Linked DNA regions of Struthio camelus. The protein of the gene in region 1 purifies or fractionates together with the protein of each later gene. This does not show direct contact. Links are inferred from orthologs where the notes say so. Each region holds a gene or a part of one and is shown in the gene's direction. Other genes may lie near its edges. The genes, in order: POLR3F, POLR3GL, protein POLR1D and POLR3B.

Region 1 (7,208 bases):
CTAAGTACAGTGTATTTTACCAGCCCCTCACCCACAGCCTTCATGGATCATTGGCCTTCAGCCAAGGCCCAGGAGAAAACATTGTAGAGATAATCCAGCTCCACAAACACTTAATGATTAAAAAGTGCTATGAGAAAGTGAACACAGTGAAAGGAATCCAGGAAGATCACTTAGACTGAAAACCGGCTGGGGCAAGAGCTGCCCCTCATTCCCCAGGTACAGAATGCTTAGAAAAACACAGCTCCACGCCATGACTGGGATGTCCAGTCCTTGCCCCAGTACTACTAAAATAAAACAAGATACCTACTTTGTAACTGCCAATGCCTTGACCATTATTTTCCCAACTGGTAACATGATAGGTTGCTTATACTCAAAAGTATTATGCTCTCCATAGCTGGGTTTCCTAATGAGTTCTGGCTTACTTCCGTCTAAAGTGTAATAAATAGTGACTGCAGGTGTATCTGAAAGACACGGAGAAAGTTATTATCCAAATTATATTAGAGCTGGGCAAAATAAGCTCTACACCTGGAAATACTCACTCCTATGTTTGATTTTTCTCACATAAACAAAATCAAGGAGTAAATGATTGAAAGTTCAGGACCAAAACTATTTCTCCCATGAAATGCTGGTGACTAAACAAACAAAATGTCATTACAAGCAATATTTCTTTTCATAAAGTAGTCATACACTGGTTTTGTATGAAAACAATGCAACAACTTGTCTGTTCTAAAGACAGAAAAAATAATTTCTCCCATGATGAAAGATGGAATTTCAAAAACCGTAAGGAACACTTTCTGAGTGAGCCAGGCACATCATATTTTCAAGTCCTGGTTTTGCAGTCACAGCAAAATACAACAACTTAAGAGCTTGATCTCGGAAGCAATTAAAACTGCGAACAGGTATGAACTCATATATTATGACAATAATATTGCTTGAATGCTAAAAGTTAAGTGTATATATTTGCAGTTTCAAAACATCTAGGTTAATTTTGTGAGTTACTTAAGGAAGTGGAAACTCACAAAAATCATAATTAAATGTAAACAAAAATATAGAGGCTAAGAGTTTCAAATGATCACATAAGGAAAAGTTTTACACAGAGTCAAAAGTGTTATTTATACCTGACTTTATTTCTACAAGAGTATTTGTGTCTATTTCATGTTTAGCCTTCCCTGGAAGAGGGATTCGAAGAGGTATGACCTGAGGAACTAAGACAGAACCCGCTGTCATTTTTCTCAGCAAGGATCTTTAAAAAAGAACGAAAAACAAAAAAGCAGACAATTATTTTTCATAACACAAGAATGCAGTGAGAAATGTTGCATTTTAAAGAGATTCCTCATCCTGGTTTGTTTCCTTGAAAGAAAGAACACTGAATTCCTTGAAATACTAGTTCTCATCAATATTTCTAAGGTTTTCACACTGAAAAAGAATAAGATGCTATAGACCCATCAAACTTTCGACCTATTGTCCTATTACAGGGCTATGAATAGGGCTTGAGATGAGCACTGTTGCTTTTATTTCAGTTTGGCCTTCTCTGCTTGAATTTGAGGGCCACTTACTCAGGTGAAACAGCTTTAGCATCATATATCTTATACCATGCCAGGAGAGAATAACTGTGAAGCATCTTCACCCTCATCACTGAGATATGGTGTCATTTTCTCTACAGGAGGAACCAGTCCCTTGTTTCATTGTGGCCATCCAAATGTATGTCAGTGAGATGCAAGATGTCCCGAAAAGGACTAAAACAAGACAGCTATTCCTCAAGCTTGCCTCACCTGTGGTATACTTTAAGCATATACCTATCAAGCAGGTGCCATACATGATTTATCATAGCCTTTATGTCACTGAATTCAAGAATGAAAAGTTACGTTTGGATACGACAGCGTTTTAGAATACAAAAAGGATGTACTGCAGGTCATGGGAATTGATATTCACTGCCAGAAAACATGTCTACACTGGAAGCATTTCGTTTTGTAACTGGCCGTTCAGTCCTCCCGCAACGTCTCTAACACTAACTCATCAACGTAGATAGTAATGACTGAGTACAGAAGGAGTTCACGGATCTATGGGCTCACAGGGGCTACACTGAGATAAGCCAAAGTGCTATCTGCAGCTGCCCATCACCTCGGCTGCACTGCCTGTAACGGCTGGTGTAATGAGTGTGGGCAGTTCTCAGCCAAGCCGTTGGGCCGCATGCTGTGGCACAGGTGAAAGGATGATGCATGGATCCGCTCTTTACCTGACACGAGGGGGCAGACACTAATTTTCTCCGAGTACCTGACTGCTCTTGCCACACCTAGACCAGAAGCAAAGCGCCCTGTTTCAAGCCTGTGGCAGCCCACGATGGGTGGGATAAAGAGTGAGTTCCCATGGGCATCGCACCGTGACGGGGCTCCGGACCCCGCTCCAGCACAGCACAGCCCCTTGCTGCACCCCGCCGTGTGCCGGGCCCCGCGTTCCCTCCTTTCACTACGCAGCCCTGCCCACCCCACTGGATCCCCACTACGCAGCCCTGCCCACCCCACTCGGTCCGTGCTCGGCAGCCCCTGCCCACCCAGCTCCATTGCATCCCACAGCCCTGCCCTCCCCCTCCATCCCTGCTATACAGCCTCCCCACCTCCCCTTCATTCCCCCTGTATAGCCTATAGTCACTGCACTCCCAGCAGATCCCCACTATACCGCCCTGCCCTCCCGCTCGATCCCCTCTGTACCGCCCCGCGTACCCGCTCGATCCCTGCTATACCGCCCTGCCCTCCCCACTCGATCCCCTCTATACCGCCCTGCCCTCCCCACTCGATCCCCTCTGTACCGCCCTGCCCTCCCACTCGAACCCCGCTATACCGCCCTTCCCTCCCTACTCGATCCCCTCTATACCGCCCTTCCCTCCCTACTCGATCCCCTCTATACCGCCCTCCCAGCAGATCCCCTCTATACCGCCCTGCCCTCCCCACTCGATCCCCTCTATACTGCCCTGCCCTCCCAGCCGATCTCCTCTATACTGCCCTGCCCTCCCCGCTCGATCCCCTCTGTACCGCCCCATGTACCCGCTCGATCCCTGCTATACCGCCCTGCCCTCCCCACTCGATCCCCTCTATACCGCCCCGCGCACCCCCTCGATCCCCTCTGTACCGCCCTGCCCTCCCACTCGATCCCTGCTATACCGCCCTGCCCTCCCTACTTGATCCCCTCTATACCGCCCTCCCAGCAGATCCCCTCTATACCGCCCTGCCCTCCCCACTCGATCCCCGCTATACCGCCCTCCCAGCAGATCCCCTCTATACCGCCCTGCCCTCCCCACTCGGTCCCCTCTATACTACCCTGCCCTCCCCCTCGATCCCCTCTGTACCGCCCTGCCCTCCCCCTCGATCCCCGCTATACCGCCCTCCCCCTCGATCCCCGCTATACCGCCCTGCCCTCCCCCTCGATCCCCGCTATACCGCCCTCCCCCTCGATCCCCGCTATACCGCCCTCCCCGCTCGATCCCCGCTATACCGCCCTCCCCCTCGATCCCCTCTATACCGCCCTGCCCTCCCCCTCGATCCCCTCTATACTGCCCTGCCCTCCCCACTCGATCCCCGCTATACTACCCTGCCCTCCCCCTCGATCCCCTCTGTACCGCCCTGCCCTCCCCCTCGATCCCCACTATACCGCCCTCCCCCTCGATCCCCACTATACCGCTCTCCCCGCTCGATCCCCGCTATACCGCCCCGCGCACCCGCTCGATCCCCGCTATACCGCCCTCCCCCCTCGATCCCCGCTATACCGCCCTCCCCCTCGATCCCCGCTATACCGCCCCGCGCACCCGCTCGATCCCCGCTATACCGCCCTCCCCCCTCGATCCCCGCTATACCGCCCTCCCCCTCGATCCCCGCTATACCGCCCCGCGCACCCGCTCGATCCCCGCTATACCGCCCTCCCCCTCGATCCCCGCTATACCGCCCTCCCCCTCGATCCCCGCTATACCGCCCCGCGCACCCCCTCGATCCCCGCTACACCGCCCTCCCCCTCGATCCCCTCTATACCGCCCTGCCCTCCCCCTCGATCCCCGCTATACCGCCCCGCGCACCCGCTCGACCCCCTCGTCCCTCCTCGCGCCCGTTACCACAGACGCCGCGAGCCCGGCCGCGCCCCTCGCCCTCTCCCCTACCCCCGCCGCCGCCGATTGGCCCGCGTCCCGTTGCCTGGCGACCGGCGCCTCACTGCGGCGCGCCGCTCCGGCGTCATCGCCGCGCGCCGCGACCCGGCGGTGCCGCCATGGCGGAGGTGAAGGTGAAGCCGGAGGTCCCCGACCCGGTGGACATAGAGAATAGGTGCGCCCTGGGCCCGGCCCGCCGGCGGGGAGCGTCGCGTCGCGGGTGGGTGGGGCGGCGGCGGCGCCCGAGGCCCAGGGGGCTGGTCCTTGCCTGGGGACACCGCGCGTGTCGTGCTGGCGCAGGGGCACAACGAGGGATGGCGTCAGGTTGCCTCAGCTCCCCCCCCCTCCCCCCCCCGTTGCCTTTCCCAGTCCTCGGGAAAACTCTGTTCTTTTCCCTTCTCTTCCGTCGTGGTTGCAGTAACTTTGCGCCTTTGGTTGCCGCTGCAGCGGGGCCTGGTTGAAAATTTGCCTTTCTCCTCCCCCAGGATCATTGAACTGTGCCATCAGTTCCCCCACGGCATCACAGACCAGGTGATCCAAAATGACATGCCTCACATGGAAGCCCAGCAGCGAGCCATGGCAATCAACAGGCTGCTCTCAATGGTAGGGCCATCTTGGCTTCCAGTGCGCTCTGCATACACATAGGCTGCATGGTAGAAACCCGTCGGGCAGGGCTAGCAAGTTTTCTTTGGATTTAGTGATGTGCTCAAAGGTTGCCATAACCAATTAAAACATGCCTCAAAACTTAATAGTTTCCACTCTGTAATACAAGATTAACATGGATGTGCATATTCACATGGATTTCTAGGTTTAAGAGGCTACCACTGAGAAGTTCCGCATTTGTTTTTAATATTTTTCTCAAGAGTAGATGTGTCTAGAGTTCTGTGGTCTTTCCCCTGTGTATCAGTTTGTATGCAAAGCAGAATGTGATACAGTAGTGTAATATGAGAGTCCTGAGTGCAGGTGTAGCAGCAGTGGCTCAGCAGGTGATAAGACAAGCAGACATGGGTGATAATGACAAAGCCCTGTTAATGGTGGGGAAAGAATTAGCTAGAAAGGAAAGAATGGATATTGGCCTGTGCTGTTATATGTGAAGCCCTTCACCAAGCCCCTCACAAAATTGCAGGATTGTGGATTACTCTGATGACAAATAAGCAGGTGAAACACCTCAAGGAGTTTTTGTAACTCCTAGAAGTTTCCTACATCTCACTATGCATTTCCCTTTATTTTATCAGGACCCAGCTTAAGATAAGAGTGAGGATCACAGCCAACTACTTCTGCCACATGTTCAGGAATAGATAGAAGCTGTTGAGTCTTGGTTCTACGTGGCATAAACTTGAATATCAGCTAAGTGTTCAAGGTCTTAAAGATCAGGATTCCGTTCAGTTCCTTTGATAGCTGTTTCATACGCACATGGAGACTGGGTGGTGCAATGGAAAGCACTGTAGCGAAAGAAAAGCAGTATCTGATGCTATTGCGGTGGCGTGTGTCAGCGAAAGGAGGGGCGCTTGTACCCTGGGAAAGAGGGGTGGTAGAAAGTATCCGAACTGAGCAAGTTTCTTTTTGGGTTTGTTTGTTTGGTGTGGGGTTGGGTTTTTTTGTTCTGTTTTGTTTCTTTTCATAAGCAAAACTTCTTTAACTGGAAGAAAAAGTGCATGGTGCTGGAACTAATCTCTCTCTCTTTCATCTTTCTGCTTATAGATACGAGGTTTATAAGCACAGTAGATAAGAGCTTGTATTCAACCACTTTTTAATGGGTTGGCCATGTTTCACAGGGAGGTTTCAATGATAGTTAAGTCTCTAGAACTTATTTAAAATAGACACCTTGGGAGTGTGGGGAGAGATCCAGTAAGTACCTTAAGCATGGGAAGAACAGCAGTGAGTGCTAAGCCTTCATAAGCATCAGGGACTTCACATGAGATAAGACATAAGCGCTTTACCTATGGAAAAGCATCGAGTGGGATCATGTTGAGGTGTGAGCTCCAATCAACCACATAATGCAAATCTATAAGAAATAAGGCTGTTACCTATGAGGAATGGATTAGCTAGCAATGAAGGAGTGAATATTAAGCTAATGCTATTATATGCATTTATGTTCTTGGGCTTGTCTAATTGCTTGCCTCTTTCTTCAAAACAGGAAGTAAGAAATTACTTGGCTCAGTCAGAAGTCCAGGATAGGATACACCTTGTGTGTGAGAGATGCCAGTAATTTGTCTCTGAGAGTTATTGGCAGTCCTGACTGGCAGTTTCCCATTGGTGGTTTTTTTTTTTTTTTTAACTAAAGAAAGAACTTTGTTACTGGAAATCAGAATTTTTCAAATCTATTGTTCATTAGAGCTCTAACTTGATTTCTGGATTGCCATAGAAATGAGCGTTTCGGTGGAAAGCAAGAAAAAGGCATACGAGAGCTTGATGTCCTTTGTGCAGTGGCGAAAGCTAGCAAGCGCATAGAGGTGGGAAGAGGCTGGAACTGTATTTATTATTTCTAATAGCTGAGGATAAATGGATAGTTGCAGGAAAAAACACCCCGGAGTGTATTGTTTCTAGTGGTTGGAAATGTTAGTTTTCCCTTTCTTCACGCAGTTGACATTAAATAAGGCTTTATACTTTAGAAATGGTTTAGAAGATTCTTGCCATATTCTGAAACAAGATATTTGAAGGAAAATAATGTGTGCCTGTCTCTCCTAGGGACAACTGGACCTGCTCAGGAGCAATGCCGGTCTCCTATATAGGATCAAAGAGTCTCAAAATGCAAGGTAAGCCTCATATTTGTTGGATAAATGTTTGGCGCACAATTCTGTACTTCACGTGCCGCACTGCTGAGAAGACGCTCTGAGAAGTCTTCACTGGGATGATGGCTGTTACAGAATGTAATTGCTCATTCCAGAAGGGTATACTTAATTGCCCTGAGCTGATCCTGAAAACTGTTTTAGGTATAATGCTTTCTACTGAACAGAGGTTACTATGGAGCTAGAGCTCTCACTTGCTAGCAGAGTTCCTGATCTGGCAATGTGATCTTTGCAAACAAAGGCGTATGCTCAAGTGAAATCCAGTTGAAGTACAGTCTGCAAACGGT
Region 2 (7,283 bases), on another chromosome or scaffold:
GGGGTTGGGGGTGCCGGCGCGGCGCCCTAGCTGCCCGGCTGGCCCTGGGCCAGGGCGCTCTGGAAGGTGGCGAGCTGCCGCATCTGCTCCGTCTGCATGGAGTGACGCCGGAGCAGCTTGCGGCGGCCCTTGGGCGAGCCGCGGCGGGCGGGCGAGGACGCCGGGGCCCCGACCCGGCTCTCGACGCCGCCGGGCGGATGGGGACCGGTGAGCAGCGGCGGCAAGAAGCCGGCTCGGCTGTGCCCGGCCGGCTCGAGCAGGAAGGTGCCAGAGCCGCGACGCTCCAGCAAGCCCGGCGAGCGCCGGCGGCCGGGCGGAGGAGAAGCGACCGCGTCGCCGGCGGCCGGCGGGACGCGTCCGACCTCCGACGTCTCCAACCGGAGACGTCCCTCGGGCTCCGTTGTGACCGGCCGGGAGCCGCCGGTCGGTTCGGCCCAAGGCGCCGCCGGTTGAGCGGCGAGTCCCGCGGCTTCGCGGCCCTCGACGCTGTGCCGCCGGCGCGGGCCCACGCTGAGCGCCTCGAGGCCGGCGGCCAGGCGCTGCTCGGGCGCCGCCAGCCCCCACGGCTCCGAGTTGAGGCGTTTGAGCGGTCGCCCGCGGGCCCGGGCCGGCGGCGGGGCGGCGGCCGGCGGCGGGAAGCGGAAGACGTCCCGCTCCTCCTCCCCGTCGGCGGCCGGCGACGGCGCGGCGCGCACCTCGACGTCCGAGGGCGAGGCGCAGGGCGCCGGCGAGGGCGGCGCGTTCAGGTACTGCCGCGTGGTCTTGGTGCCGCGGGGCGACGTGGCGGTGGTGATGATGATCACCTCCTTGCCCCGCGCCCGGCAGGCGTCGAGCAGCGCCTGCAGCGTCTCGCGGTCGCCCCGGTTGAGGGCGTAGACGAGGGCGGAGGCGCCGGCGTAGTCGCGGGCGCTGGGGTCGGCGCCGTGGGCCAGCAGGGCGGCCGCCACGGCCGGCCCGGCCCGCTCGGCGCAAGCGTGCATCAGCGCCGTCTTGCCCGTCTTGTCGGCGATGTCGGGGTCGGCGCCGCGCTCCAGCAGGTAGCGCACCATGCGGGGCTGCGCCAGCGGGTCGGCGTAGCGGGCCCGGCAGGCGGCCATCAGCGGCGTCTGCCCGGCCGCGTTGCCCTCGTTGATGTAGGCGCCGCCTTCCAGCAGCAGCCGGGTCAAGCGAAATTTGCCCTGCGTCACGGCCCGCAGCAGGGCCGAGCCGTCCGCCGGCAGCACGGCCGGGCCGGCCGGGCGACGCGGGGGGCTCGGCATGGCCGGCTCACGGCCCCCCGACGGGCGGCGGCGCCTGGGCGGGCTGAGCCCGGCGCATGGCACGCTCACGGAGCCGGGCGGCGGGGAGCGGACGGGGCGCGGAGGGGCTCAGCCCGGAGCATCGGGCGCTCACTGCGGCGGGACGCGGCCAGGGGAGGTGGCGGCGACGCGGCGATCTCGGAGCATTGCACGCTCACTGCAACGGGACATGGAAAGGCAATGTCACATGGATATGGTGATCCTGCAATGGGGCACGGAGAGGGGACGTCGCATGGATGTGCTCATCGTGCAGCACTGCACCCTCTCTGCAACGGGACACAGAAAGGGGATGGTGCACAGATACGGCGATCTCGGAGCATTGCACGGGCACTGCAATGGGGGACAGAAAGGGGACGTTGCACGGATATGGAGATCCCAGAGCATCGCACACACGTTGCAACGGGACACGGAAAGGGGACGGGTCAGGGATGTGGCGATCCCAGAGCATTGCACGCTCACTGCAACGGGACATGGAAAGGCAATGTCACATGGATATGGTGATCCTGCAATGGGGCGCGGAGAGGGGACGTCGCATGGATGTGCTCATCGTGCAGCACTGCACCCTCTCTGCAACGGGACACAGAAAGGGGATGGTGCAGGGGTTTGGTGAACCCAGAGCACGGCGCACACATTGCAATAGGACGTGGAGAGGGGGACCGCGTTGCACGGATGCGCTGCTCCCAGAGCTCCCTCCTGGCAGGCAGCCCTGGCTCCCTGCCTCAGTTTCCCCAGCTGCAATTCTTGCCCGCCCCCCCCCCGCCCCCCGCTGCCCTCGCAGCCGCGGTCGAACTGATGGCACTGACGGGCACCGACGGGCTCTCACGAGGGGGCGACCCCTGCGGATGCCCCTGTCGGACTGGCCAGCGGTCACAGCCCAGCCTGCAGCACCCCAGGCGCCAGGGCTTCTCTGCCACTGCCTGTGGCTGAACGCCCTGCCTGCGCGGTGCCCCGGGTCCCCTGCTGGTGCCCCCGGCATCCCCTGTCCCCCGCCTGTATCCCCCATCCCTGGGTGCATCCTCCGCCTCCCTGTGCACCCCCATCCCTGGGTGCATCCCCCACAGCCCCAAGTACCCCCATCCCTGGGTGCATCCTCCACCTCCCCGTGCACCCCCATCCCTGGGTGCATCCCCCACAGCCCCAAGTACCCCCATCCCTGGGTGCATCCTCCACCTCCCCGTGCACCCCCATCCCTGGGTGCATCCCCCACAGCCCCAAGTACCCCCATCCCTGGGTGCATTCTCCACCTCCCTGTGTACCCCCATCCCTGGGTGCATCCTCCACCTCCCCGTGTACCCCCATCCCTGGGTGCATCCTCCACCTCCCCGTGCACCCCCATCCCTGGGTGCATCCCTCACCTCCCTGTGCACCCCCATCCCTGGGTGCATCCTCCGCCTCCCCGTGTACCCCCATCCCTGGGTGCATCCCCCGCCTCCCCACATACCCCCATCCCTGGGTGCATCCCCCATAGCCCCGCGTACCCCCATCCCTCTATACATCTCCCTGCATCCCTGCCTGCCTGGTTCCCATGGTTACTGCAGCTCATCCTGCTCCTCCGGCTCTCTGGGCAGCCAGAAAAATGGGGGGAAAAGAGCCAACCCCCCCACCTTTTCCACCCCAATTTGCAAGCCTGGGTTACAGCAGCCCCCGGCAAAGCCCCGGCTGCATCCGAGCCCCACTGGGTGCTGGGGGGGCTGCCGGCTCCAAGGGGGGACCGAGCTCTGGGGTGGGGGGGGGCCCTGCCCTCCGCGGGGGCTGCCCCATGCGGGTCTCCCCAGCCCTCCCTCCCCGCTGCCTTCCTCCATCACCCCCGTTACCAGCGCGATGCTCCGGCGTCCCGGTGCGCAGTGCCCTGGCCGTGCCGGTGCCGGGGACATGGCGCGGTGGCCGCCATCCCGGCTGGGGGGGGGGGTCGGTAGGGGAGGTTAGCTGGAGGGTTTTTCCCCCCTTCCCCCGTCGCTATTTTTGGCAGCCGCTCGCGCGGGGAGGCTGGACGGGGATGAATCACCCGGCGGCGGTGGCAGCGCCGAACCCGCTGCGCCGAGCAGCCTGTGCGGGAGGCGGCGGGAGCAGCTGCCGTGGGGGCACTGCGCCGTGGGGCTGGGGGATATGACACCATGGGGCTGGGGGACACGACGCCGTTGGGCTGGGGGACGCGACACCATGGGGCTGGGGGACGCGACACCGTGGGGCTGGGGGGATATGACACCATGGGGCTGGGGAGCACCACACCGCGGGGCTGAGGGACATGGGCAGTGGGGCTGGGGCTATGGGGCAGTGGGGTGGGAGCCAAAGAGCAGTGGAGCTGGGGGTTATAGGGCAGCAGGGTGGGGGCTATGAGGCAGTGGGTCTGGGCATTATGGGGCAGGGGGCTGGGGGCTATGGGGCAGCAGCATTGGGGGTTAAGGAGCAGCAGACCCAGGGGCTATGGGGCAGTGGGGCTGAGGGCCATGGGGCAGCAGCACTGGGGGTTATGGGGCAGGGGGCTGGGGGCTATGGGGCAGCAGCATTGGGGGTTATGGAGCAGCAGGCCCAGGAGCTATGGGGCAGCGGGGTGGGGGCTATGGGGTAGCAGCACTGGGGGTTATGGGGCAGGGGGCTGGGGGCTATGGGGCAGCAGCACTGGGGGTTATGGAGCAGCAGGCCCAGGAGCTATGGGGCAGTGGGGCTGAGGGCCATGGGGTAGCAGCACTGGGGGTTATGGGGCAGGGGGCTGGGGGCTATGGGGCAGCAGCATTGGGGGTTATGGAGCAGCAGGCCCAGGAGCTATGGGGCAGCGGGGTGGGGGCTATGGGGCAGCAGCACTGGGGGTTATGGGGCAGCGGGGCTGGGGGTGATGAGGCAGCGAGGTGAGGACCATAGGGCCGCAGCACTGGGTACTATGAGGCAGGGGGCTATGGCGTGGCAGCACTAGGGGTTATGGGGCAGCGGGGTGGAGGCACTGAGGCTGTGGGGCAGCGGGCTTGGGGGCCGTGGGGCGGCGCTGTGGGGCAGGGGGTGGGGAGCGCTCACCCATCGGGGCCCGCATCCCTCCATCCCCGTCCCCGCTTCGGTCCCTCGCTCGCCCGGGTGCCCCTTCCCTGCCCCCTTCGCCCCTCCCGTCCCCTCTCCCGCGGTTCCCACCCGCCTTTTCCTCTTTCCACCCCTCCCTGCCTTCTATCCACCTCCCCATTCAGCCGCTCGGCCCCGCCCCTTCTCCCCGGCCACGCCCCTTCTCCCAAACCCCGCCCCCTCCCGCCCTCCCATTGGCCCCGCCGCGCCCAAGTGCGGCGGCGCGCACAAGCCCCGCCCCTTCCGCGCCGTGTGCCCCGAGAGCGGGGGGGGGCGCACGTGGCGCGGCGCGGAGCGCCCGTGCGCATGCGCGGCGCAGGTGCGGCCGGGTCCGGGGTGGGGGGGAGTGTCCGGGAGCGGGACCGAACCGGGACCGGGGGGGGGGGGGGGGGGAGCAGCGCCGTGTGTCTCCGCGCCGTGCCCGCCCCGTTGCCCCCCCCCCGCCCCCTCACGGCAGCGTTGTCCCCTCGCAGCGCCGCCGCCGGGCCCCGGCGCCCCCCCGCACCGACCATGGCGGGCCGAGGCGGCCGGGGCCGGGGCCGCGGGCAGATGACCTTCAACGTGGAGGCCGTGGGCATCGCCAAGGGGGACGCGCTGCCGCCGCCCACCCTCCAGCCGTCGCCGCTCTTCCCGGTGAGTCTACGGGGAGGGGGGGGACACCTACTCTCCCCCCCCCCCACCCGCCTCCCCGCTAGGTAGCGGTGGCCGAGACCTGCCGCGCTCATCGCAGCAGTGGCGCTGAGGGCCCTCCTGCGCCCGCAGCCCATGGAGTACCGGCCGGTGCCGCTGCCCGGCGGCGAGGAGCTCGAGTACATGCTGGCCCTCAAGCAGGAGCTGCGCGGCGCCATGAAGAACCTGCCCTACTTCGTGAAGCCGGGGGCGCCGAGGCGAGGTACGGAGCCGGGGCGGCGGCGGGTATCCGAAAAGGTGACCCCGGGGCTGGGGCCGCCGCGGGGCTCCCCGCCGACGGTCCCGCTCGCCACCCCGCAGACATCGAGCGCTACTCGGACAAGTACCAGGTGTCCAGCCCCGTGGACAGCGCCATCGACTGGAGCCCAGGTAGCCGGGATGGGGAGGAGGGAGAAACGCCGTGGGAGCGGGCCGGAGGGGAGCCGGCGTCCCATCCGGCGCTCCGCTCTGCCGCGCAGATTGGAGGCGCCTGCCGCGGGAGCTGAAGATCCGGGTGCGGCGGCTCCGCAAGGGCAGTGAGTATCGCGGGCGGCGCGGGCCGCGTCCTGCCGCCGGGCGCTCTTGACGCCCGCCTCCTCTGCCCCGCGCAGGGCCCGCCGTCCTGCTCCCCAAGCGCAAGCAGCGGCTCGCGCTCGACAAGGAGGAGACCATTAAGAAGCTGGAGGTAAGGAGGCCGAAGGCTCGGGCCGGCCTTCGCCGGGGTTGTCCCGTGCGGGCGGCTCTCTTTTCTTTTTTTTCTTTTTTTTTTCCGCCCTGCGGCGGGGAGTCCCCGCGGTTAACGCGGGCGCGCGCTAACTCGGCGTCTCCCTTCCCTCGGCGCCCAGAGCCTGGAGAAGAAAGAGGAGGAAGTCACGTCAGAGGAGGAAGAGAAGGAAGAAGAGGAGGAAGGGAAAGAAGAGGAGGAGGAAGAGTATGATGAGGAAGAGCACGAAGAGGTGAGATCCTGGGGGCTGGGGGTGGTCTGGGTGCCTCCCCCCGCCCCGAGGATGCGCTTCAGGCCCCCGTCGCCCACCGGCTCCCCGTCCCCAGGAGACCGACTACATCATGTCCTACTTCGACAACGGCGAGGACTTCGGCGCCGACAGCGACGACAACATGGACGAAGCGGTCTACTGAGCGGCCCGGACGCCTGGGCCCTCCGCCGGTCACCAGCCTCCTCCTCTGCCCTTCGTCCCTCCCTGTGCACCAGCGGCGCTGAGGACCAGCCCGCCTTTGCCTCCAGGTGGCACTTGTGCTCCAGGCACGGGCGCTCGGCCGCACCCATCGTACGGTTGGGTCCCCCCCACCCGCCAAACCTTGCACCCGGCGTCACCACCGAGGTGCCCCCGCGCCGGACGAGGGCAGGACCCCCATCCTGGGGTTCAGGGGGGCAGCGAAGGTGTGGGCGCACAGCCCTCCCCGCAGCTCGGACCAAACTTTGCCCTTTTTTTGCTGTGTTTTTAGGTCACTTTTGAAGTGTTTTTTAGCTTGATATTGGGGGGGGGGGGGGGAAGGCGCCGGGGTGGGGGCGTAGCGGGACCCCGGGGGGGGGGGGGCTGCCGGGCTTGTGCCCGCAGCAGGACGAGGGCGCCGCCGCCATCGCGCCACAGCGTTTCCTCTGGCTGCCGAAGAGCCCTCCCCAGAAAGCAAGCGCCTCTTGCAGCTCTCGTAGCTGCTTTTTAATCTTTGGGGGTCTTTTTTTCTTTTTTTTCCTTAGTGGATTGGATTAAAGTGATGTTTTCTCTCTTTTTGAGCTGCGTTTGTGCTGTGGCCTCAAGTGGGGATTTTGGGGGGGGGGGGGGTGATCAGGACTCCTGGGCTGCTGCTTGTCCCCAGCCCCAACTGGGACAGGGGGGTCCCTGAGTGCTCCCTGGCGCTGGTCCCCTCCCTGGGCACGTAGAGGTGGGACCCCCCCCCCTCCCCGGGGAGAAGGGGGCTCTTTGTGCCACCCCCCCCCCCCGTCCCCGCAAGCCGCTCTCCAAGAATTGCTATTTTTAACGGCTTCTAGGAAAAAACCCAAAGCGTGCGTAAGCCTGGTGGGAAGGCAGCGCGGGGAGCGGCCTGGCACCGGCGCGAAAACCAGCGGCGCCGGAGCAAAGCGGCGCGGGGTGGCCGCTCGCGGCGCTGGTTTGAGCAGGGGAAGGGCTCAGCTGGCCCCTTCCACCTTCCCTGGTCTGATCCTGCCCTCGCCCGGCCCCCACCACACCGGTGTGTGGGGTCACTGGTTATACTGGGGCAGGCGGCTCCGGTTTGGGCCCCGCGCCGGCT
Region 3 (7,715 bases), on another chromosome or scaffold:
TCTCCGAGCAAAAAAAAACCCTGCTGCCCCATCATTCTTTCTCCTATATGTCAACTCAGAGCTAGGATGAACACCTAGTCTGAAAAGCAAAGAAACCCATAAAAAGATAAGAGTTTAGAATCCTCTGACACTAATATTTTTTGGCCTTTCAGAGCCAAAATTTTGAAAATAATATCGCATTAAGAGAGGGCTGTCTGTGGAGGTGAGTAACCCGGATTCAAACAAAAATTGTATGCAAAGAAAAAGAAATCTATGTGACCGGAGTACAACTAAAAGAGTTCGTAAAGGTTCCCATGGATAAGAATATTGACCTGAACGTTACTGCAGTCAGTAATAAGCAACTGTGCTTATCCTGATTATTTTCTAACCATAACAGTGATGTGCTGACAGATTCCACTGGGCTTGTGCAAGCTCTCAGGCGACAACTGTGAGAACACGAAATTGTGAGGTTATCTCGCGAAGGAAAAGCCTATAATACACTTGAAAATTACTCCTACTGTAAAGAATTTATCAGTGCAAAAGTAGGTAGCTCGCGACTCATTTTTTCCCCAGCGTGCTGAAGAGTTTTTGACACCGCCACACTGTCCCAGGAAACCTACTCCAAAAGCCCTGCTTTGCCTTTACACAACTACTGTTTTTCTCCTCTTTCCCAACTACAGCTTTGTCCTCCTTTAACGCACACCACTTACACTCATGATTCACTCCTAGAAGCATTTTGGTAGGAACAAGGCAAATAATTCATATTACCTCTTCCTTCAATGCTATGGAACTGTTTATAACTACCTTTTACAATATTTTAAAACAGTATCTGTTCATATATTGGATATATTCCTCAGTGAAACTGAATTTTGCTCTACAGCCAAAGGTTCTACGTATAAATTATGTATACTCCATTAACTAATACTTAAGCATTAGCAGTTCTCTGCAATGAGATGTAATAACACATTCTTCTCTATGGCCCAAAGCAAATCAACTCTACCTTCCTGCAGACTGTCAGGTGAAAATTAACTTATAAATAATATTAATCTAGCACATTCATAACCTCACAATTCCGTTATTACCTGATTTGGTCTGTTTTGCTGGGATAACAGCAAGAAAATTCTAGACAGTCTTAAACTACCACAAATACAGAGCAACAATACAATTTGCTTACTTAAAAACGAGGCTGAAAACATTGTATCTTGCAGTATCTTAGCGCAATTTTTTTTTTAATTAAAATACTTTCTACTGATTAGATGGAAAAATTTCAGAATCATAAAACGGAACTTAAAATCTTGCCTAAAATCTTAAAACTTCAAAAGTTACCCGATTTTACAGCAAACAACTGCATCCTTACACAGCCTTTTGTTTTTACCATATAATGCACTAGCTCACTATCAGAGAGGCTCAGATTAGAAACCTCCCCTCTCTTCCCAGCCCAAATTCCAAAACAGAAACTGTCCTAAGCTATTTGTGAAACTAACATTCATTCAAATAAACATCTAAGAGAATGCAAAGGGTTGTCACCTAATCAAATTCAGATGATCAAAAACACTTCCAAAAATGAGAGAGATGTCTGTACCACTACAATGCACAAGTATGAAGTCAGCTCCTCTACAGTACTCCTACCATCTGTAAGGGAAGGAGACCCATGGCACGGTTGGGAGTTTCTCGTTACATGTCCATTGGTTAGCCAGCCCTCACTGCCAAGCCAGAAGTCATCTACCTATACGAAGTCATGCAAAAGATGAAAACAGTCAGGACGAAAATGGGACAGGTTTATCCCCCAAACTTTGCAAACATAAATCCTCAAGACATTCACGCACAGGCTGAACATCAAGCCCAAGAATAGACCCACCATATTCCACAAGAAAAACTTGAACTTTCAGAATTAAACATACGCATGAATGCCTACAGAATTGAGGCCATAAAAAGCAGAGACTACAATGTTATTGTCTTTTATTGCTCTCTAGACACCGTGACCTAACAATTACATAATTAAATAATGACACGTAAAAGGGTTTTCATCCTTAAAAGGCACTATGATTTCTAAACAAAAAAACTCCATTGACCTAATAAAGCAATTTAGAAGCATGCAATTCAACGGTGTCACATTAAATTGCTTTTCCAAACTAAATCAACAAAGAATTTTCAAATATCAAAGACAAACCACTGACTAGACCAAACAGATTTCCAGTGTCCTCTGGTGCCTCCATACACCAGGAAGCATTTTCATTCTGAATAAAGGTTGTTTTCTTATTACAGCTCTTAATATCTAATAGCTTTTTAAACAAGCAGCATCTTGCTGATTTATGAAATTAATGTATACTATTCCAGTGTCTAAACTACATCATATCCTTACACATTTCTTTTTTAGAGTGATATTGTAAGCCTCACTTCTGCTTCACGGTGGCTTTAAGTGGCTGTATTTAAAGCATTTATTAAGAGAAGGATAGGATTGAAAAAAAAGTCTAGCAGGGGAATATTCTGAAGTATTTTCAAGTAGACAGTTTTAACTGGAAGCTAACAAACTTCTGCTGTTTTTTAGTGATGCTGGTCCAGAAACGTATAGTGAGACTCACAGGCTGTTCAGTTCAGGCAAAGCCTTATGACAAAACAAAGTTTCACTAAGGTCATCAAGGCTTTTATGTGAGTCGGCTCCACACACACGCAAAAGCTTGCAATGTCAAAGCCAATATTTTTCTAATTATATATGATAGGCTTCAGTAGGCTTATTTTTTAAATTAACCTAACTGTTCAAGAGAACAAAACTTTTCCACCTAGTCACCAGCTTGCACTCCTCTTGCAAAGTTTCATTCCTAAATTGCAGCTTCATGTTTGAACAAATTTTAAAAAAAGGTTAAAGACCTGGGTTAGGAAATCATGTTGTTTGTGCAAGCCTCAGACCCGAGTCCAAGGCCCTGGGCTATCTGTCGCTGAAGTCAGTAGGGTAGGAATTTGTTATAGAAAACTCGGATCTAAAAATCAATGTGTAGGAGGTTTTTTTGTGTTTACTGAGATTTTAGAATTTTAATAACACAGAAGCTTAAAAATCAGAAATGTCATAAACTTTTATGTAAAAAGATTCCCACTGGACAAAAGGGCGTTCTTTGCAGTTTCCCGAACTCGGGGTTTATCGTTCTGCAGCGCTGCGTTTAAGGAAGAGAAGACTCCTCACTCAGTGAGCTTCAAAAAGTAAATGCTAGAAGGGCCCTATTAAGCCTTACGGTCCCAGACAGTATGCTTAAATACCTTGTTTCCACCCTGAGGAAATCTGTTTTAATAAAAGTCACGGCGGCATATGGCAGTACTAAGGTGGTTATTTTCCGAGCGGGCAGGGACACTAACTGAAACCATCTGATGTTTCTTCCTAAGCCTCCTTGATCTGCTGCTGGATCGCAGCTTAGAATAAAACATCACGAGGCCACAAGGAATTGGGTAGCGGAGTAGAAATCGGTCGGTCCAGCTGTTTATTTAATAAGAGCCTAGCTCAGAGCAGCTTCTCTTTTGAACAAAGAAGCTCAAACGCTTCTATGATTTATTTCCAGAGGGGGATCAACGACACCCCAAAGCCAGCGCGTAACAGAAACTCCTACTTTGTACGCGAGCGCGAAAGAAAACCCACAACATCGTGTAATTAAAAAAGGAATTAGATGGGGCCCAGCAGTACTTAACCGCGGATTTCTGGCGCAGTGCACAACCAGACGGGCTGTGCATCAGAAACGCGGCAGGCGGAGCCGCAGGGGGCTGCCGTCCCCGTCCCCGTCCCCGTCCCGCCGCCGCCGCTCCCCCACCTCGCCGCCGCCTCAGCGCTGCCACCTGCTTCGCCAGCCGCGACGGTTTTTTCAACGCGACAGACGCGACCTGAACGAACACCGGCCCCGGCCCGCCCGCCCCAGACTTGTTGCGCCACGAGGCAGGCCCGGCCCGAGCAGGCCCGGCCCCGCTGCCGCCTCCGGCCACCGCCCCTCAGCGGCCGCCCAGCCGGGCAGGGAAGTTACTCACCGCCGCCGGCTCCCGCCGCCGCCGCCGCCCCTCAGAGCGGCGCCGCGCTCGCCTCCATGCCGGGCGCGCAGAGCCCTCGGGGCCGGGGCCGGCCCAGCCCGCCCCGCCCCGCCTGGCCCAGCCGCGTCCCCGCCGCGCCGGTGCCGGTGCCCCCGCCCCGCCGCGCCGCGCCGCGCCTCGCCGGCGGCAGCCCCGGGCGCGGGGGCGCCGCAGCCTATGGGAGCGGGCGGGGCGGGCCGCGCCGCAGCCCCGGGGTGGCCCCGCCGCTCGCCTGATCGGCGGCGGCGGCGCGGGCGGAGGGTGAGGGGCCCCCGCGGGCAGCAGCGCCGCGGCGCGGGGGGCGGTGTCGTGCCCCGGCGCACCCCCGCCGCCGCTGCCCCAGCCGCCGCTGCCGGCGCTGGGCGAGGAGCCCCCAAGCCCGCTCTTAGCCCGTCCCCGGCCCCCGCTCGCCTTAGCGGAAAGCGAGCGCGGACAGCCCCGGTCGCCCCGTCCCGCCAGGACTGGCGCCAGAGTTGCTTCCCGAGCCCGCCCGCCCGCAGCAACTGGGCGGGGGGCGCTGAAGGAAACGGCCCCTCTCGGGCGGGGGCAGGCGCCCGCGGCAGCCGGCGGGGAGGGGCAGCGGCGCCGGGGCCGGGGCCGGGCCGGGGCGCGGCGGGCGGGCGGGCGGCAGGTGCGGAGGGGGGAGGGGGGAGGCGGCCGCCGGCCGGCACCGCCCCGGCTCCTCCCCCGCGGGGTCCTCGGCCGCCCCGCCCCGCCCCCGCCGGCCGCCAGCGGGACATGGCGGCGGCCTGCGCCTGAGCGGCGGCCGCGGGCCGCGCCATGGAGGAGGACCCGGAGCTGGAGAGGTGAGCGGGGGGCGGCGGGCTGCGCCACCGGGCCTCGCTGGGCCGCGGCGGCGGCGGCGGGAGGAGGAGGAGGAGGAGGAGGAGGAGGAGGAGGAGGAGGTGGTGCCGGCCGCGACCCGGCGGCCTGTGAGCCGCGGGGGGCCGGGGAGGCCGCGCGGGGTGGGCGGTGCGCGGCGGCCGGCTTCCTCCCTCGGCCTCTTCGGGACGGAGCTTTGAACCCTCCCCTCGGGCGCTGCTGTGCGAAATAAATGAATTTTAAATGAATTTTTTTCCGGCGTAATGTGAAAATATATACGTGTATCATTGCTTGAAAAGAAAAAAGTCAAATCTCCTCGCAATGCTGCTGGTACTGTTCAGGAAGAAGATTTAAAAGCATTAGCTGGCTCGTCTCTCATTAATTGGAAGTCAGCAATTAGCCTCACTTGCTAAAATCAAAAAAAAATAAAAAAAACACACAGTTAAACTTGTACTCTAGTCGGTTTTGGTTCTCAGCGTTAGAGATTTGCCAGCTGACCAGCTGTTAAAATGACCCGTTTCTTGTATTATGGCAAAATGTTTGCGGTCGTTTTGTCAAAAAAGGAACGTGCTCCGTGCCTTGCGGTTTGGCGTGGATGAGCCGATGTGTTTTGCTGCGCGTGCTGAGCTGTGGTTGAGCTGTGGTGTTCCCAAGCAAACATTGCGGACTGAAACGCACGTTTCTCTCTCCGAATATTCAGTCCTCGCAGGCGTGCCTTACTCCTGCTTTACTCTAAGTATTTACAGCACAGGTAGATCTTTTCTTTTGATAATCATGCTATTTCTTGCAGGTTTGTCTAGAAGAAATGATTAACGTGGTGGGTTTTTGACATGGTTCCTTGAGCTTCGCTCCACTTTTCTAACAGGCAGAAAACTTAGGGGACAGCGATGACTAGAGGCTTTCTGAACCGTTCTTCTCGTGATTCTTCTCCTTGACTTTAAGAGTCGGTAGAAAATAACTTGTTTCTCTCGCTGTTTATATTTAGCAAGTATTTTAAATAGGACAAATGTAATAGTGTTGGCGTGGTGGAAGGCATAGAGAGCACAAAGCTTTTTAAGAGGCCTTTAATTCTTGTACGCTACCTCCCCTTTCACATCATCAGTACAGAAATTCAAGTTTCTTTCTAAATATGCAGGAATGTTATTTTTATGACTGCTGTTCCAAATTTATGCCCCCCTTTTTAATCATATCAAATCTAAACTTTGTCACAGCTCCTTCCACGTTCTGTCTCTCTTCTGGCCGCTGCTGACGTGCCGGGGACTTGTGGTTCTCCAGGCAGTTTGGGGCGTAGCTGCGAGAGATTGCTCCAGAGTCTCTTTCTGACGCTCTCCTTTCCACCAGCCAAATTTGCCTCTTATTTCAAGCTGATGCTGAATATACTATTCCTGTTTCATGGCAGTAAGGTAGATAGTGAGGAGGAAACTGTGTATTATTTGCCAGAGGAGGCACAGAAGGGTTTAACTGTCCTGCACCTTGAATCCATGCTACATGTTTAATCAGCTCCTTGCATATTATATATACAGTATAGTGAACTTATTGGTTACTGTTTTCTATCTTGGATCTGTCTTACACTTCTTCATTAGCTAATTACTTTTTCATGCTCTCAGTATTCAAAAAAGCTCTTTTTGTTAGTAGCACCCTTAATTCAGTTCACACTGTGTGCATTTAAATGTCGTATTTGAGCATTTCCCATCACACTTCTCCATACAGTCCCCAAGAGTCTAGTGTTGACCTCTCTTTATCCTTTGGCTTACAGACATGACTCGTTAGTCTCATATCCAGCTACCTGGTGATCATACTCACGTTATGTCAGATGTACAGCTATGGCAGTTAGCTTTCGTAATTTTTGGCCCTTTAAAATATTGCTTTGGCCTACGAATAATGGCATTTTTCTTCTGCAGCCACAGCATAAATATTTTAGGTAGATTTTTGATGTTTCAAAAACGTTTTTATTTGGAATATTTTTCATCGTATTTATCTCAGTTTAGTCTTATCTCAGTGCACGAGTCTTCAATAACAGTGTAAGACTTTTTGTATGTGTGGTTTTAGTTAATGTAGCATAAAAAAAAGTTTGTAACTACTTTAATGCAGGTTCTTTCAGGCCTAAAGTGCATTTTGTCAGGTTTCCAAACAGCGATTTATTGAGAGGAGTCAGTTGTCCCAGTTTTTTGTGACCATCTAAAGAGAAGTCTCTCTGTTCTGCTTGTTCGGTGTTGCTTCTATTTTTCCATTTTACAGTGTCTGGCTCTCGCTTGATCTTGTGTTTGATGTTTTTCTCGCTTTGATAGAAAGTGGTAGTCACTACCAAAGCTGATGCTAAGTTGTGTTACCATGTGACTGTTGCGTACCCTGGGATTTAAAACCCTAAAAGCTGTAAATACTTCAAGTGTGTAAAATGTTAAGCCACGTTCTATTAATATATAATTCAGAGTAAAATGTATATGATCCTAGAGGAAGTAGGAAAAAAGGTTACAAATCAGCTACTGAGAATTGTTTATCTTATATTTTCCCTATAAGCAGGTGTACTTACTTTTCCTACTTAATTCCTACTAAATGTCCTTTGGGGTATGATAGAGGTCACTATTTTCTTCCTTATCCAAACAATTCCCACCAGCTGTCTTCATGGGTCTGTGTGTTCAAAGCACAGAAAATACGTGGTTAATCTGGCAATATAAAGGAAGTGGCTTTGCTGTGCTGTGTGTCCAGATTCTTCCATAATCAATTTCGTCTCTCAACAGCTCTGGATATTTCACAACCTTTAGTATCATAGCCTCTTAGAATTGCCTGTCAAGCTTGCTTGGAGTATCATGTACTTGGAAATAAGCATCTCTTAAGGAGATAACGTTCTGTACACAAGAGCTGCATTGTGG
Region 4 (7,508 bases), on another chromosome or scaffold:
TCTCTTCCCGTCAGTCTTTATAATAGAGACACTGTGACCTGATTTCCCTACTATGAATAACCCACTCCAGTGACTATGAATGAGGGGGACAGGTCTTGTAAAAATGTATACAGATAGCTTCTGAAATCCACTGGAAAAAAATTAATTTCAAGTACATATGTATTTTTTTAATAGACTAAGTCTGTCTAATGGATTGTGTCACTTGCAATAGCCAGTAAAATATTAGCTTCCAAGACAAGCATTTACAATGACTCGTGAGGGGAAGAGCTGGCAAAGTACTTGCTGTTTTGCCACCATTAAAACATAATCAGTTTTTTTAACTTAATATATTTTACATATACTGATGCAATTATGACATGACAAAATAATTCTAGATAAAATTTCCTATATATATTTAGGACAGCATCTAATAAAACAATTCTCTCTTCAAAAAAGACTTTGAAGCAAAAAGTATAGTAATAACTGCTTTCGTAACCAAGGACAGGTCCATATTTGGCCAAGTTCTAGTACTCCTGCAGTTACTGGAATGAGAATTTAGCCTATGTTACATTAAGGAATGCCAGTATTATTAGAAGCTGTTTTGAATATAGCAGTTACAGAAGAGCTCACTGTTTAAAGTAGGAACCATTCAGAACTTGTCAATTGTAATTGAGGGATTAATGAAAAACTCCTAAGGTTAAAAAAAAAAAAAAGATCATGGGGAGGGAAAAAAGTCTGTCTATAATGTCTATAAGCATTTTGTTTATCCAATGGAGGTCATACACAAAGCTCAAAGTCTAATATGTTATATGCTGATCCTTGATCTTATTTGGGCATTAAGTATTTCTGAGTTAGGGCTTTCAGACCTTTGTTCTTACAGGCACTTGACTTTGAGAATAATGTCACTGAGTGCAGCAGAGCAATTTCCCCTTCTGTAGTCTGTTCGATGAAGGCATAAGTTTTTTACAGAGTATTTTTGGTACTCTCGGTTCTGAATGCAAGAACTCAAGTTGTTAATTGTTCTCGAAAATCTAAGTACTGTAAGTGATTAGCTTGACTTTCATTGGGCCTCTGTGGGAAATACTTCAGCTTTTCCCCAAATTACTTTGGAATAGGCCTTGATACTTGGTTCCCATTTAAGACTACAGGAGTTTTGCATACAGAGAATGAGTAAGTTTGATATGGAGAAGTATATGTAAACTTTCGGATGTTTACTTCCATACTAGATTTTGCATATATCAGACTACTGGGAATAGATAGTGTTGGAATACTCTAGTATGGATGCATTCTTGTCTATGAAAATTGAAAAAGTTACTTGAAAATGATGTTTTAATATATTATCATACAATAGTCCTTTTTAAATGTCAAATATATAAAGTCCATGTGGTACAAGTTAAACAGCTTGTTTTTAATATTTTATATTACAGTCTATTTTTATTAAGAAACAAATTTACCCATAAAAGCTTAATGTGCCACACAAATTGTGTATATATACATTTATTATGTCTATCATAAAGGTCTAAAGTGGGCATTATTAGCACTGTGGTTTTGTAGTCCCTTTTTACAGGATTATGTACCCCTTTTTATTAAGGGAAATGACTTCTAGTCACTTGTTGCTCAGAATGTCCAAGGCCTTTGGCCACATGTATATGGTATGAAAAACTTTCTTCAAAATATGTTGTTACCAAAAAAAAAGCTCTAGTGCACTTCTGTTCTATCCCTTGTATAAAAAAAAATTGCACAAAATAAAGATAAATAAGTATTTTAAAGGGAACTGTGTTTCTTGAAGCCTGAAAAACCTGAGAGAGGAAGGAACTCCTAGAACAGACCAATTGTGCCACTATGTAACATGGGTTTGTTCAGATGAGTATGGAATTTTGACAAGGAATTCAAAATCATCAAGAGAAGAATTCATTTCAAAAGCAATTAAGAATCAAATCTTAGTGATCCTGCAACATCTTGGGACATAGCTAAACTATTTTGAACCTTAGGCTAAAAGATGATTTTATGAACATTTGAAGAACACTTATAAATTTATATCATAATACTTTATATGCATTCTAGTGCAAAATAAGCTGTGTGACGATTGGCTTTTAATGTAAATTGGCATACTAGTTTTTACGAGAAAATACTTGGAAAGAGGATTTTGGTTTTTTTGGGGGGGGGGTAATTAAGGTGACTTGCAAAGGGCATTTAATAGCATGGCCAATGTTTCCACTGATTGTTTAATGTATTTTAATTTTTATTTAATGTTTCAAACCCAGACACTGTGTCTGTTTAATGTCGTGTTGCATGCTATTTACGCTAACATGGCTGAAATGCATGTGCCTCAACTCTGAAATTGTCTTTGATAAACAAGATGCTATTTTGTAGCAGCTTTCTTTGTTAAAATATAAATACTTGTGAGGTTTTGTATGCATTAAACTTTGTTTGTGATACAATTGTGGTGAAAAGTCATTTATGCAAGCTGTTTCTTAAACATAACGGATGTTAAATGCCAGATATAAATGACTGCACAAATGTTGTGGCTCGCTCTTTCCCTGCAACTCTTCAGTTGCAGCTGAAGTGTAGAATAGCTTTAAGCTAGTTGCACAAATAAGGTTTTGAACAGCCTCTTGCTTAAATCTGACTCCTTGTCCAAAGACAGTTTGTGTATTTAATCATAGCTGTACTGTTAAGCATGATTAAATAGATTAGAGTCTTCAAACTGGAAAAGGTTTGACAGTTGAAGCAGAAAGGAGTTTGATAGGTCTACAAATGGTGAGTGGCAATAAAGTGAAGAGCAAATAGTTGCCGTTTCTTAAGATGCAAGAGCAAGACCATCAAAGAAAAATAGTGGTTTGTGTCATTTCACAGCAATGTTTAGATAACCTGTGGAACACCTTGCCTAGAATCTGGGGCTATTAAAAGTTTTGTTTTAATGATCAGAGGATTAGACAAATAACTAAAAATCATTGATGGATTTTATTTTTTTCCCCCCTAAAAGGGACCAAACTTTTCAAACAAAGCAGGTTGTTCCTGCTTTGCTAACCACTGGAGTGTTAGGAAGAACATTGGAACTATGCATACTTCTGTCTAGGCTGGTGGTGGGGGGTGGTGGTCATGAGAGAGCTAGAGCTTGCCTGTTCTTTGAAATGGTTTCACCGCTGTTCCTCTTCCCCCTTAGAAAGAGTAGCTCTGCTAGTTTTGCAGTGCATGATCATCACTGCAGAACATAATGCTGCCTTTCAGCTTTTTTGTATCTAGGTCTTTAAGTCATTATTCAGTGTATGAATTGATTTAAAAAAAAAAAAAACAAAACTGCTAGTTTGTAATTTCAGAGTACACATACAACTAGCACCAAGTGCTAGAGGTGAGAGTAGAAGAGACTACCTATTTTGAGGAGTAGCTATAGGTACAATTTTGCATCAAATTAAAAAGCTAAACCTAGGAATTGTTTGGAGAAAGGCTGGATACTTTAAAAAAAATTATCACATTCAAAATGATGCTTAATGAAGCAAATTCAATATAATAAGCCACTTACTCATGTAATCTCTAGAAACTTTTATGGGATCCTTGAACCTCTAGTAGGATTCCAAAAGGATTTAGAAACTTCTGAAAGAATGAGTATTCAAAAAGTAGTGCTAATGCAAGGAGGAAGAGGGAGTGGTCAGATGAATGTGAGGCAATCATTTGCCTGCAAGAGCAGTCTTAGTAAAATTAAATGTTCTTAAGGTGGTAGTTCAGTTTGACTTTCAACAGTGTACTGTTCTAGATTCAGCCTTAACGCTTAATTATAGACTATTGCCAAATTCAGAAAGACCCAACTTCTCTGTAACTGGGAGTAAATGTTTTCAGAGTGTCTTGGCTCTGAAAACCCCTCGGATTTCAAGGCAGCTCAGCCTTTTGGACTACAGAAGCCACATGCCTCTGTCCCCTGGCAGCTGATGGCTGCATATTGCTGCTCTTTTCTTTGCATCATGCAGAATAACTGTGTACAATTCATTCAGTCCTGAAGCGCCTGGTGTACTGCCTGTGTCTGGATCAAATGTGCTGTGGACGTGCACAGATCTGATGCTTCTTGAAATTTTAGTGTCCATAAAATAACGACAGCTACTCCATCATATCTGTTTTTGTTAACTGGTTCACATTTTGACCTTTGGCAGTCCCTGATTTTTAACCCGGCTGAACGATTTATAGTAGCCCCCAGATAAAAGTCATACTAAACAGGAATACGTGACAAGGACGTAGCACTGAATTTTCAGATTTGTAAAGGCAGAAAAAAGGGCTTTTTTTTTTCTTGATCAGTCATGCAGTAGGAACAAACGTTTTGGAGTGAGCTCCTAGACGGAAGCTTGCGCTGTATAAAAGAGCTCTTAGCTGTTCTGTTGCTGAAAACAACATTCTGTCTTTATATATAACAAAAAGAGGGGCTGAAGACCTTATTTTTCTAAACCGAGGGCCCGTTGCAGTTAGTTAAGAAGAAACTCTTAATCCCCTGACTCCCAATTTATTCTGGTTTTCCATTATGGCAGAAAACATGATCTCTGGTCACCTAACAGACCTGAGAGCGAGGCAGTGGGTCGTTGGACAGAAACAGTATGTTCCCTAACCAGTTTCTTGGTGAGTATAGCTAGTTAAATGGAAGACCTTGTATAATTTTTCACAATTGAAACATTAAAAAAAAAAAAAAAACACCTCTCCAGGCTTGAATTTGACATTGAATGGAACATGAACCTGCAACCAGTCCCACCTGTTGCTCTTCTCATGCTTAAATGGAAGCTGAGCCTTCATTTCCAGGATGGGTGAAGCCCACACCAACCTCCCGGAGCTTTAATTATATAGAATCTAAACCAGATCTGAGTTTAAAAAAAAGATGGTAGTTTTCAGTTTCTTCTTTTAAAAGGTACTTGTGTCAAAGGGATGGGCAAGTATTCTGCGTGTTCTACATTTTGCAGCTAAGAATTTCATATGGCTGAAGTGCAACTCCCGCACGCACTCGAGTTTTTGGGTTCAGCAGTGCTATGGGTTTTCAGTTCCCCACGCGGGTCACCTTAAAAATGTTGATTAAAAACCAAGACCTGGGGTTGGGGAGGCACAAATTCTATTTCTGGCTTTGCCTTATATTTCTTCTACTTGGGAAGATCACGATGGCCTATCCCAAAAGGCAGGCCATGAAGCGGAGCCGGCGGCCGCGGGGCTGGTGACGCCCAGCCCTGGGCCGCGCCGCCCCAACGGCTGCTCCGTCACGCGCCGGCCGACGTGGGGGTGGGGGTGGGGAGGGGAGCACGGCTAACGGCTCTACCCGCCGGAGCCGCACGCGCTCAGCCCCCACCCCGGGCGCCCTGAAGCCCGGAACCTTTCCGCAGCTGCGCCCGTTCCCGCAGGGGTGGGGAGGGGGTGCGTTTTGCTGCTGCACCGCCGGTCCCTCGCGGGGAGCGTCCGCTGGCTCCGCCGTGGCCTCTGCGCCGGGCTGGCATGGAGGCGCTGGCAGCGGAGCTGGGGAGCCTGACTGCCGAGCAGGCGGCGGCTCCTGTGAATACGGTGGAGGTTAGCGGCGGCCCCAGCCGGGGAGCACAGTCCTGGGGGGGCGGTCGGGGGGCAGCAGAGCCCCACGGATCCCCCCTCCCCGGCCGGTTGGGGGGAGGGGGAAGGCGCGTCGGCCCCACCGGCTGGCGGTGGGGAGGGGCCCGAGGCGCGCATGCGCGGGGGCTCCGGCCCCCTGCGCTGGGGGGGGAAGGAGCGGAGGGGGCTACGGCGCATGCGCAGGGGGCGCTCTGCCACGCGTGAAGTGGGGTTCCGTGGCTTCGTCCGTGCGCTGCCCGTTTCGCTCGGAATTTCTGTAGCTGCCCAGTGCCTCCTGCGGGGGGCAGCGCCAGGGCACTGCCGCAGCAGCAGCGCGCCGTGCTGGCTGTACTCGAGAGAAACCAAAATGAGGGAGGGGGCCGGTGTGCTCTTGGGGCCAGGGCCGTGCTGTGTGCTCCCTGCCCCCTTCCCCCCCGCCCCCCCGCCCCGGAGCTGGCGGGGCCTCTCTCGGCCGGCAAGCGATGCTGCTGCTGGTCCCTGAAGGGTAGAAGTGGGTTAAAGCCAGTGGGAACCTTTCTGTGCGTTTACTTGCCAGTATTTTGCTCAGGCAGTTTGGCTAAATCTTTGTAGGAGTTGGGATGCTGACAGGGTGTACGGATACCCCTGTCTGCCTGCGTCACCCCTTAGAATGAGATTTTGCATGTGTTTTGTAGAGTCCAAATGGGAGCTAGGCTTCCTTTGCCCAAAAGATGCTCTAAAGCGTTAAAAGGACAAAAAGGTTGGTGTTCTTAAACTGGGGCATAGTATTATGGAGTTTTCCAGGAAATGCACATTCTTACATAACCTGTTTTTAGAAAAAATGGCGTCCCTTTGTGCTTAGAGTAAAAATTGCGTAGAACGTATGGCTCGCTAAAGTGTTCTGAGTCGTGTTTTGTTTTTACTCAAGGAGATTGGCTTTGGGCAGTCTTTTTTTCTAAAAAGATCTGATTTTAAAACTGTTATTGTTTAAAACAAAACAAAAACCTCAAGATTCTTAAATGTTTGTTTTCTCTTTGGAAAGCCACTTCAAACTGTTTTTTGGTTTTAGGAAAAATGGAGACTTCTTCCAGCATTTCTAAAGGTTAGTGTTATGCACTCATTTCATGGCATGAACATTCAATCTCCTTTCTAACTTTACATTCCCCTGTTCTACCTTTTACTATTTCCCAGAATAGCTGCCCACCCTCCCTCTCGGCTTTGCAATTCTTTTTTGTTCCCTGCTTCCGTGGAATTGGGGATAAGGTTGATACATGATTTAGTTTCTTGATGAATAAGATTAATTTGAGGAGGCATCCTTGGCCTCCTCAAGTTGGCATTTTTTATATGGTGATTCTGAATGAACAGTGTATATGGTATAATGTTTTCAGATAATTTTACTGTCTCAGTGGCACCCAGAGACCCTATTCATGGTCTTTGCATAAGCTCAATGTAAACACTGAGTAGGTAGTTATGTTTGTCGTAGCAAGTATGCAACTGCAGACCTGGATTCTGCCAAGGCTTGAATATATGTACACCTTTATTCATGAATGTCAGAGCTTGACTGAACTCAGAGGTTAAGGTTGTGTTGATTTCAGTGCTACCTCTGCAGTCTGGCCCTAGCTGAAGACACAGTTCTATTTACAAATGCAATTAGATGTAGTAACAGGAGTAAAAAACAGTTGGAAGTGAGAAGGGAGAAAGACAGTAATGATATTGTATCATAAAGATGGCAGGTAAAGTCTGTGATGTGCACAGGTACTTTCAGGAAATTGCAGCCACCTCTGCGTGCATGTCATCCATCCTTTGAAATGTTACCTGCTTCAGCAAGGCTCTCTTCAGCCTAATTTTGTGAATTCCCTTCCTTCCCAGTGTAATATCCGTGCACCCCTCTTTCTGTTACACGGTCCAGTATTTCATCTTTGCAGGAAAACAAAATTCAGAGTTCACTTATGGACTGTGTATGCCTTTTCACTGTGGTTCAGGGCTGTGAAGATATTTTTGGGCCC

What was found.
Region 2: the proteins of POLR3F (region 1) and POLR3GL purify together in Homo sapiens (co-immunoprecipitation; 5 studies listed by BioGRID and IntAct, counting the BioPlex papers as one, with this or other methods). This does not show direct contact. The link is inferred for Struthio camelus from reciprocal best matches to the Homo sapiens genes POLR3F and POLR3GL.
Region 3: the proteins of POLR3F (region 1) and protein POLR1D purify together in Homo sapiens (affinity purification with mass spectrometry; 3 studies listed by BioGRID and IntAct, with this or other methods). This does not show direct contact. The link is inferred for Struthio camelus from reciprocal best matches to the Homo sapiens genes POLR3F and POLR1D.
Region 4: the proteins of POLR3F (region 1) and POLR3B fractionate together in Homo sapiens (co-fractionation; 4 studies listed by BioGRID and IntAct, with this or other methods). This does not show direct contact. The link is inferred for Struthio camelus from reciprocal best matches to the Homo sapiens genes POLR3F and POLR3B.

Annotation. Positions count from the first base shown.
Region 1 is NC_090944.1:146,895,377-146,902,584, reverse strand, and holds the start of POLR3F (DNA-directed RNA polymerase III subunit RPC6), read left to right. Parts: upstream 1-4,204; 5' UTR 4,205-4,251; coding exon 4,252-4,307; intron 4,308-4,617; coding exon 4,618-4,735; intron 4,736-6,820; coding exon 6,821-6,888; intron 6,889-7,208. Other genes in the region: DZANK1 (double zinc ribbon and ankyrin repeat-containing protein 1), read right to left, coding at 308-461, 1,119-1,227. UniProt on the Homo sapiens protein: DNA-dependent RNA polymerase catalyzes the transcription of DNA into RNA using the four ribonucleoside triphosphates as substrates.
Region 2 is NC_090971.1:3,068,644-3,075,926, reverse strand, and holds POLR3GL (DNA-directed RNA polymerase III subunit RPC7-like), read left to right. Parts: upstream 1-4,805; 5' UTR 4,806-4,856; coding exon 4,857-4,979; intron 4,980-5,076; exon of another isoform or gene 5,077-5,108; coding exon 5,109-5,238; intron 5,239-5,336; coding exon 5,337-5,405; intron 5,406-5,494; coding exon 5,495-5,551; intron 5,552-5,626; coding exon 5,627-5,700; intron 5,701-5,860; coding exon 5,861-5,971; intron 5,972-6,065; coding exon 6,066-6,152; 3' UTR 6,153-6,765; downstream 6,766-7,283. Other genes in the region: ANKRD34A (ankyrin repeat domain-containing protein 34A), read right to left, coding at 27-1,259. UniProt on the Homo sapiens protein: DNA-dependent RNA polymerase catalyzes the transcription of DNA into RNA using the four ribonucleoside triphosphates as substrates. Specific peripheric component of RNA polymerase III which synthesizes small RNAs, such as 5S rRNA and tRNAs.
Region 3 is NC_090942.1:200,709,616-200,717,330, reverse strand, and holds the start of protein POLR1D, read left to right. Parts: upstream 1-4,706; 5' UTR 4,707-4,803; coding exon 4,804-4,829; intron 4,830-7,715.
Region 4 is NC_090942.1:61,794,744-61,802,251, reverse strand, and holds the start of POLR3B (DNA-directed RNA polymerase III subunit RPC2), read left to right. Parts: upstream 1-4,496; 5' UTR 4,497-5,436; coding exon 5,437-5,508; intron 5,509-6,571; coding exon 6,572-6,604; intron 6,605-7,508. UniProt on the Homo sapiens protein: Catalytic core component of RNA polymerase III (Pol III), a DNA-dependent RNA polymerase which synthesizes small non-coding RNAs using the four ribonucleoside triphosphates as substrates.